2 linked regions of the Mus musculus genome follow. Each later gene encodes a partner of the first gene's protein in a complex. Links are inferred from orthologs where the notes say so. Each region holds a gene or a part of one and is shown in the gene's direction. Other genes may lie near its edges. The genes, in order: Oprm1 and Pomc.

Region 1 (4,434 bases):
CATTCTAGGGTAATTGAAGGATGGTAATTATTCTCAGTGAAGCACACAAAAGAGCAATAGAACGGAAATATTGATCTCAGATGAGAACATATGGTTGGACAAAATTCAGGTTTGTACTCTGAGAAGAAGACTGAGGTAAAGTAGCATCACACTGCGAGAGATTACAGGGCTAGATCACAAAATGATCTGATAGCAAAGGCAGCAGTAAGCACCACAAGTCAACCTGTCATTCACAAGAAGGGGGTAAAGATGGTTCTGTGTGTCCTGGGGAGACCGATGAATGTGAGCACACAGATTTCAGCTCAGCCATATGAACTGACACACTTATTCCGAAGAGAATATATTTAAAGGTATTTTAGCAGCCTCTAGAAAACCTTATCTACATTACTGCTGAAATGACACCCTTTAACGCAAAAGGGGACAAATAATACTGAACGTTGGCCAAAAGTCTACAATAGTTGAGCTGTGTGTTATCTTTTTTTCAGAATGATTGCTTAAAAGTAAAAATATATGTTCCTTCTAAGCTTGCTTCCCCACAGTCTGTGAGAATTCAGTTAAACTTTCTACAACCAAATGGGAGCGGGGACATTTATTTCCAGTATTTATAGTTAAAACTATGGGTATGCGCATGGCATGCATATGCATACACAGTGTTGAGACGAAACCACACTACTGCTGAATTTACGATTGTATTCCTTCAGAAGCACTTGTGAACTTAGACATGAGATCTAACATTTTTTAAATGCATTCTTGCTCCTCAAGGATCTTGCTTAAGGCCATTTCACACTCAAAAGAGCTGTGGAGTTTCTTTTGGATTCTCTATAGTGGGAAGAAAAAACATTTCTGCTTGATTCAGTAACCTGCTCCCCAGAAGCTCGGGAGAGTGGAGGCAGTGCGAAAGCTTAGGATAAATCTTCCTAAGCAGGTCCAGGAGAGTAGACCTGGCATGGGTAGTGGGTTCCTTATTTACAGGTTATCACCCCTCCTCCCTCACATCTCTAATGTGTTCTTATGCTTCTTCTTCACTAGGAAAAAAATCAGATGCAAATAGACCTTCTAACCTAAGAGAAATTGAAGGAGTGGGGGCACATGAAACAGGCTTCTTTCACAAAAATTTTCTCTTTTAGAAAAAGACAATTGTTTCTTTGAACAGGTTTGTGGGGTTGATTTTTTGAGGAACTAAAGGGGTTTTTTGTTTTGTTTTGTTTTGGTTTGTTTGTTTGTTTTCCCTCAGATATGGGGATGTGGGTAAAGGACAACATTAATAACCCTCCAGTCCTAATTAATTGCATATGGTTAGTTGAGTCGGAAGAGTGTTGAGGTATAAGGGTCATTGAGATTTTAACAGACCAACGACTTTCCTGGCTGATGCAAACAACCTAATGCATGGTTGTTACAAAGAAACTTAGAGTCTCTCTTCCCACCCTCTCTGCAGCATCCCCGCTTCTGCTCCCCCCCCCCCTACCCCAATTTACACTCCTTTACACGGAAGTGCATAGAGACTGAGGAGGCTGATTCTGAGTTGCTTTGCGCACAATCCACTCCTTCTCTCTCCTCCCTCCCCTCTAGCCTCTGGATCCCTCACAGCCCATGCTCCCTCCCTTCCACTCAGAGAGTGGCGCTTTGGGGATGCTAAGGATGCGCCTCCGTGTACTTCTAAGGTGGGAGGGGGCTACAAGCAGAGGAGAATATCGGACGCTCAGACGTTCCATTCTGCCTGCCGCTCTTCTCTGGTTCCACTAGGGCTTGTCCTTGTAAGAAACTGACGGAGCCTAGGGCAGCTGTGAGAGGAAGAGGCTGGGGCGCCTGGAACCCGAACACTCTTGAGTGCTCTCAGTTACAGCCTACCGAGTCCGCAGCAAGCATTCAGAACCATGGACAGCAGCGCCGGCCCAGGGAACATCAGCGACTGCTCTGACCCCTTAGCTCCTGCAAGTTGCTCCCCAGCACCTGGCTCCTGGCTCAACTTGTCCCACGTTGATGGCAACCAGTCCGACCCATGCGGTCCTAACCGCACGGGGCTTGGCGGGAGCCACAGCCTGTGCCCTCAGACCGGCAGCCCTTCCATGGTCACAGCCATCACCATCATGGCCCTCTATTCTATCGTGTGTGTAGTGGGCCTCTTTGGAAACTTCCTGGTCATGTATGTGATTGTAAGGTAAGGCATGTTCTGAATACCTAGTTCCGCAGGGGGGAGGGGACAAAGCTCCCCCATGAGTGACAGAGGAGAAGTAAACAGGGTACAAAGAGGGGGTGGTTTGAATAGAGTATTTGCTGTTTGTGTGTGAGCTTTTACTTTTCTGGGTTTTGTTGGTTGGTTGGTTTTATTTTTCTCCCTCTCCTTGAAAAAGCAGTGTTCAAGATTCCAAAGACAAGACATTTCTTTGGCCAAAACTATTAAGATGTGGTGGTGGGAGGCTCCATCTTGGATCCCCTTTTTATTCTAAGCCAAGAGGGTCTTTGAAGCATGTTTTGCAGTCAATCCTCCCTCTGGATGAGCTGTAAGAATAGGAAATTGTAAACAGTGAGGAGGGGAACCTTGTTTGCTTCTCCTAACTGAAAGACAGAGGCTTCACAGTAAGTTAAAGAGATAAACTCGATAACTTTTTTAGACCTGCTGGTTTAGGCTAGACTACAGTCCCACCACTTCTATATTCTGGGAGCCTTTATCTTACTCTTCTTCCATCCTGAGGCTGCCCCAGGTGGAGGAAGCTTTCCTGCCATCTCTCCTGGGCAGGGTAGCTTAAAGGTAGCAAGTAAGCTGTTGTGATGTTTAGCCCAGTACAGTACTTTCTTCCTGCAGTTCTGCTGAGGGAGTTCCAAGTGGGATCTGGAATTGCTGGGTAGCTCAGGGCATAACTATTTCTTCAGTGCTTGCAAACATGAGAAGCAATTAAGGAAGTTAAAAGCAGCAACGTTCAGGATGGTCTAGAGAGGAAAGTATCTCTATCTAGTGAAATTACTTTCAAAGAGTTTGAACAGAAAGAGTCTGCTTTCTGTTGTTTTGGGTGCTCCAGATGAATTCAGCAAAGATTGAACGTGATATTGTGTTGGCTGAGTTACATCTTCAGATTCAGCCTGTTACTGTGGAGTACTTATCTATCCACTTCTGATAAAGTAGATGGATACCCCAGCACTTTAAAATGGCTCCTGATTTGAGTTTTCTTCCCAGTGGGGTTATGTGGCATCATGAGCTTGGCACTTCCATGTTTAGTTACAATATTTGCTTCACCTATTCAACACACATGTCTCAGGCTTCCACAGAGTGCTCAGAGTCCCTGAAAGATCATTTCCCTCATTATGCTTTTATTCCCAAGGTACTGCAAATTGCTTGTCTGATTTCTTTAATTAATGATTGTTTAAAGTAAAGCTGATTTCTCTGGTCTTTGGGTGAAGGATGTGTCTCTGAGAAAAGAGCACCATCTATTGAAAGGAAGGCTAACAGCAGAAGAAAAACACAGGCAGAGAATCAATATAGAAATGTATGCTTTGAGACATTTATTCTCTGTGATTCAAAACAGAGATTCAAATTAGAGATTCAGTCAGTCTCATCACACAGTTACAGCAGTAATTAAAAGATGGCTTTTGGTAAGGAAAATATGCTATTCATTGTTCCTGGGGGGTAAAAACAGAATCATAAAATGAGAGAACTGAAATGTTCTTAGGGTTTTCTATGCTAGACAATTGAACCAATACAAAGAAATCATTTTTTTTTTAACTGAGACAAGATATTTACTAGTTCACTGCCCATGGCTGTCACTGTGCTCACATAATTTTCTGTTTATTAGGATATATACATTGATGGTTTGAGTTAATTCTTTTGCTAGATCAAGAGAGAAAGCTTGCTTTACAGTAGTGATACTAAATAACAAAACACCCCAAATTTATGCATGTGTTCTTGGGTTTAAAAGGTGCGAAACAATTGCCAAAGAATCCAGGAGCTTTTTCTCTTTATGATCTCAGCATCTTCCTCCCTCCTTTTTATCCCCTCCAGCTTCTATTTTTCTATAAAGAGTGCCAGTAGCACAGGAAGCAGCTGGAGCAGACATGGCTTGGTCTTTGCCCAATGCTGAGTTCGTTCCTGGCCTGGTGGGTTCATTTTAAAAGCATTGCCTCTCACTTGTTCACTTGGAGACATGGTCACACTGTCTCTCACTGAGAACATGGTATTGTGCTTTTTTTTCTCTGTACTGAAAGTTCTGACAAAGGCAGCTCTATTTGAAAGGTCAACCCAAACACCCACCTGTGGCAGATAAAGTGCTTAATTCCATGGGCAGATAACCTTCTGAGAATAAGAATGTGAAATAGAAAAAGAGGCAGTTCAATGACACATGAAGTGCTGGTCAAGTGTCTGTGGGCTGAAGACTCTGTGCCTAGGTAGCTGAGCTCATTCAACTGACTGTCTGTAATTTTCAATGTCCCAGATCCGCTCAG
Region 2 (4,445 bases), on another chromosome or scaffold:
CCCAAACTTACCTTGATTTGACTTTGAGGCTGCCAGTAGCAAGCAGCCCCCTAAAGACAGAACAATAAAGCAAAGGAAAACAAAGACAAAATCACCACAATTAGAGAGCTGGTGAGCCTGATGTCGGTGAGGGCAGAGGTGGATGGGAGGTTGAAGACAGAAGTGTATTAGTTCAAGTATAATAAGCTACATATACAGATGAGACAAGAATGGGGTTCCCTGCCGAACACAGATCATTTCTCAGGCTCCTGGCAGAAATAATAGCCAAAGGGGGCTTAATATGAACTGGGAGATGATGGGGAGTAACCTCACTGGAGGGACAGAGGGTGCTAAGCTTCCGGGAAACACTCAGGGAAGTAGAGGCAGAAAGTAGTGCTCATGGAGTATGAGTGTTGGGAGTATGTGACACCCAGGATACAAGATGGACAGCAGGAAGTCACTCCGGAAAGAGGCCACAGCCAGGTGACACACTCCTTGCTCTTGTTTGGGAGCTTGGTGTGTTCTCTCATGGCACAAAAGGAAAAGATTTTTGGATGCCAATCAGAAAAGCTGAACTCTCAAAGGAGCCCTGGAATCCCCCAAACAAAACAAAGCAAATAGACAAGCAAACAGCGTCTAACTGGGGAGTGAAGTTCCTTCAGCTGGTAGATTAGGCAGGCACCCCGACTGGTCTGGTACAGGCCTGGTCCTGCTGCCAGCCACAGCTCTCTTCACAAGTTTTGCTCTTTGTGCTGGCTCAGGTAGATGCCACTGCAGGTCTGTTCTTCCTTCTGTTTTGGCCTGTGAGTTCACAGCTAAGCCAGAATGCCTGGGCCTGGCCACATGGTGAGGGCTGTCAGACAATCCCCACCCAGACCATTCTGCCAGCTCAGCCCCGGGATGGCTTCCATTTCCATTGCCCACCACAGAGCGCTGCACCTCTTGGTTAATAGTCTGAGGCTGGCATGACCTTGCCCTTAGAGTTTGGGCACAGAAGGACACCTGTCTTGAAATAAGTATTGGGGAATCAAGGCAGGCACACACCCCACTCCAAAAGGTAGCCTGCCTTGGGCGGCCGTGACTCTTGACAGCCTCTGTTGTCTCCCTTCTCAAAACGGAACTGAGATTTTGGTTTCACAAGATATCACACTTTCCCATCATTGGGGAAATCTGCGACATAACAAATCCCCTTCCTCATTAGTGATATTTACCTCCAAATGCCAGGAAGGCAGATGGACGCACATAGGTAATTCCACTCCGATCTGCAAGATCTCAGAACTAGGCCTGCCTCGCACAGGGACGCTAAGCCTCTGTCCAGTTCTAAGTGGAGATTCAACACCATTCTTAATTAAGTTCTTCCTAACCACCAGCGCCAGGTGTGCGCTTCAGCGGGTCTGTGCTAACGCCAGCCTCCGCGCTTTCCAGGCAGATGTGCCTTGCGCTCAGCCAGGACCGGGAAGCCCCCCTCCCGAGGCCCGCCGCCCCCCTTCGCTGCAGAAGCGCTGCCAGGAAGGTCACGTCCAAGGCTCACCCACCCAACCCTGCAAGTATAAAAGAAGAGAGAAGAGCGACAGGGACCAAACGGGAGGCGACGGAAGAGAAAAGAGGTTAAGAGCAGTGACTAAGAGAGGCCACTGAACATCTTTGTCCCCAGAGAGCTGCCTTTCCGCGACAGGTAAGGGTGTCTCAGCTCTGGACAGCTCCCTTACTCTGAGCTCTGACCCCGGACCTTGGGATCCTCAGCAGACTGGCGTTCTGGTTTGTAGCGGACCTGACCTCTTCTCAAACTTCTGAGATGGGAGAGAGCTGAGCCCGGATGATGGGTTGACAGACTGCTCCAGAGAGCAGGTGGTTTGGCGACTCCATCTGGGGATGGTCCCAGAGTCCGCATGGAGGAATGAAGTGTTGGGAGGCTTAGGATTGTCTTAGACTCCGACTGGCCCCTGGGGAGATTTTGGGAGAGTTCCCCTTTAGGCTTCTCCTTCCGATTGTTTGGACTTGTATATCTTCTTTAAGGCAGGAGACTGAACATGTTGGAAAGATAGCGGGAGAGAAAGCCGAGTCACAATAAACTCCTAATGGTGGAGTTCATTTGTTGTTGCTGTAGACGTCCAAACCCTCGTTTCTCTGCGCATCTTAGCAGATCTGGGGTGGTTGCATTGTGATAATTACGTGGGTTATAGGACAGGACGGTAAGTAGGTTCTTGTCTTCAAGATCCAGCTCAGATTTAAAAACAGGGTGTGGGAGGGAACTGTCCAAGGTTCTGAAATACTCCGTCTACTTTCGGAAGCCTTTATAAAACTGTGGGGGCGTTGCAGCAATTTGTAAGGACCCATACTCAGGTAAAGGACATTTCAAATGGAGAGAAAGATTCCCTCAAGTTTTCCATGTATAAATCATGGGAAGCTTTCACAGAATGGCTGGAAGGAGTTAAGTAAAATGAAAAGAAGTTTGTCAATGTATAAAGTAAGTGCAGATTGTTTCCTTTGGGTCTTATAGAAGTTGAAGCAAACGCACTGTGTATGGATGAAGCCGCATCTCTGTGCCTCTCAGATTTATACACAGCTTGTCGCAGTCACTCTGAGAGCAGAACATATAAGCTCTACTGAGTTCAGAGACTTTTCTGGGGCCCTAATAAGCGCAGTTCTGTCAAAATGAATAAACCACAACCTTCTGTCTTCCAGAGATGTTAATGACTGGAACCTGACACTCTCCTATCTATGAAAAGCACAGCATTTGACATTTCCCTCAATACTTTTGATTAAAAAAAAAAAGAGGCACAAATAAGACATTTGTTTCATTGTAAGAAAAGGGAGAAATACAAATAAAATGCTCTAGGAGTGGGGCATAAGAATTTCAGCACACAGTGGGTGGGCTAGGAAGAGAAGGCACAATTTTGAAGGCCTGAAATCTCAACTGTGGCTCCTTCAAAGATGGTCACACAACTTTCAGGACAATGGAAACTTAGTGAGAGGACTTGCATGATCTTACTTTTCTTTACTAATATGTTTTCATGCTATTTATCATTTTTTATGCTTTCCTATCTGGGGGAATTTTGTGATCTCAGCATTTTGAGCTAATTTGCTCCAGTCTGAGCCTGAGCCCCAGCAATGGTGAACAAGGTTGCTTCTAGGCTGAGGTACGGACCACATAGTTCAATGACTGCTAGCGCCTACTAATGGTTGTTCTGAAAAAGACACTCAGAGCTTGCAGGAAAAACCAGCTCTAGAAGAATGGTGCAGGGGTGGAGCAGAGAGGAGAAAGAGATTCTTGAAGGAAGACTTTCACTTCCAAATCCTCCCTTTCAAAAATAGAGGTTTGGCTCCCGTCTTTATTTTCTGTCATATTCATCTTAAAATGCAAATGTTCATCAGGGGTAACAGACACTTAAGTCATTTACATCTTTTTTAAAATTATTACATTTTATTTTATTTTATTTTTTTCAGGTCAGGGTATTTCTGTGTAACCCTAGCTGTTCTGGAATTTTTTCTGTAGACCAGGCTGGTCTTGAACTCAGAGATCCTCCTGCCTCTATTTCCTGGGTGCTGGGATTAAAGGTATGAGCCTGGGTATTTACATCTTACTATGAACTAATTTTTCTAATCTAATTAAATGTCTTCCTAACAGCTGGTAATCTGAAATCCAGAATGAGTGTAAAGTTGGTGGGGAACTTTTACAGAGTAGGGTGACATTAGGGGTCCTTGGGTGAGGGGGAACAGATATCACAGGCTAAGAACCTAGCAGTGTGAGGGAAGAGCTGGACACCAGGGGACCAAAGTTGCTCTCTCTCTCTCTCTCTCTCTCTCTCTCTCTCTCTCTCTCTCCTGCCTGTTGGTCTTTTGACCTCCATATCTGCCCAGAGGTGCTTTGCATTCCTCCACAGTATCTTAGTCGTTCTCCACTGTGGAGGCAGCTTCCTTTCCATTCTTTTGCCTATCTCTCTGTCCTCAATATTGACATCCTCTTCAAAATCACATATTTCAGACTACAAGACTTATGATGTGTGGTGTGTATGTTTAGAAAACAGGATAGTTTTAAGGGAAGTGGAATCTGCTTTAGAGAGAAATCTTCCCAAAGTTACTAGGGTCTAGAAAATGACAGTCACCAGGCAATTTGTGTATAGAATATCAAACCTTGATTAAGTGGACTGGCTTTATTTGCCTGTATTCAAACCTACCTTTCATGGGAAATGATCAAATGTTAGGCGAAAGGAACCAAGGCAGGACTTTCCTATCTTTTGTCTTAGTTACTCTCACCCTTTGGATACAGAGTGTTGAACTATAGCTTTCTCCAGGCAGTGAACTTAGAAGCTATGTGGGAATGTGGAAAAACATACTTTTACTTCATCATGGACATAAAAGAAATGATCTTTTGGGGGCATCAGCTTTCCCACCTCCCAAATGAGGGGTTGGGCCAAGTGATATGGCAAATAGCTTCACCTAATTTTTTAAGGGTCTGATTTTAA

The links.
Region 2: the proteins of Oprm1 (region 1) and Pomc are in contact, whole or in part, in a cryo-EM structure (PDB 8F7Q), measured with the Homo sapiens proteins. The link is inferred for Mus musculus from reciprocal best matches to the Homo sapiens genes OPRM1 and POMC. Residues at the interface, in NP_000905.3 of Homo sapiens: Ser66, Met67, Ala70, Ile71, Met74, Gln126, Asn129, Tyr130, Leu131, Met132, Gly133, Trp135, Val145, Ile146, Asp149, Tyr150, Met153, Arg213, Ile217, Asp218, Cys219, Thr220, Glu231, Lys235, Val238, Ile298, Val302, Lys305, Trp320, Ile324; in NP_000930.1 of Homo sapiens: Tyr237, Gly238, Gly239, Phe240, Met241, Thr242, Ser243, Glu244, Lys245, Thr248, Pro249, Leu250, Val251, Leu253.

What each region holds. Positions count from the first base shown.
Region 1 is NC_000076.6:6,787,001-6,791,434, forward strand, and holds the start of Oprm1 (mu-type opioid receptor), read left to right. Parts: upstream 1-1,569; 5' UTR 1,570-1,874; coding exon 1,875-2,158; intron 2,159-3,994; coding exon of another isoform or gene 3,995-4,073; exon of another isoform or gene 4,074-4,243; intron 4,244-4,434. UniProt on the Homo sapiens protein: Receptor for endogenous opioids such as beta-endorphin and endomorphin. Receptor for natural and synthetic opioids including morphine, heroin, DAMGO, fentanyl, etorphine, buprenorphin and methadone.
Region 2 is NC_000078.6:3,953,393-3,957,837, forward strand, and holds the start of Pomc (pro-opiomelanocortin preproprotein), read left to right. Parts: upstream 1-1,552; 5' UTR 1,553-1,654; intron 1,655-1,995; exon of another isoform or gene 1,996-2,171; intron 2,172-3,426; exon of another isoform or gene 3,427-3,537; intron 3,538-4,445.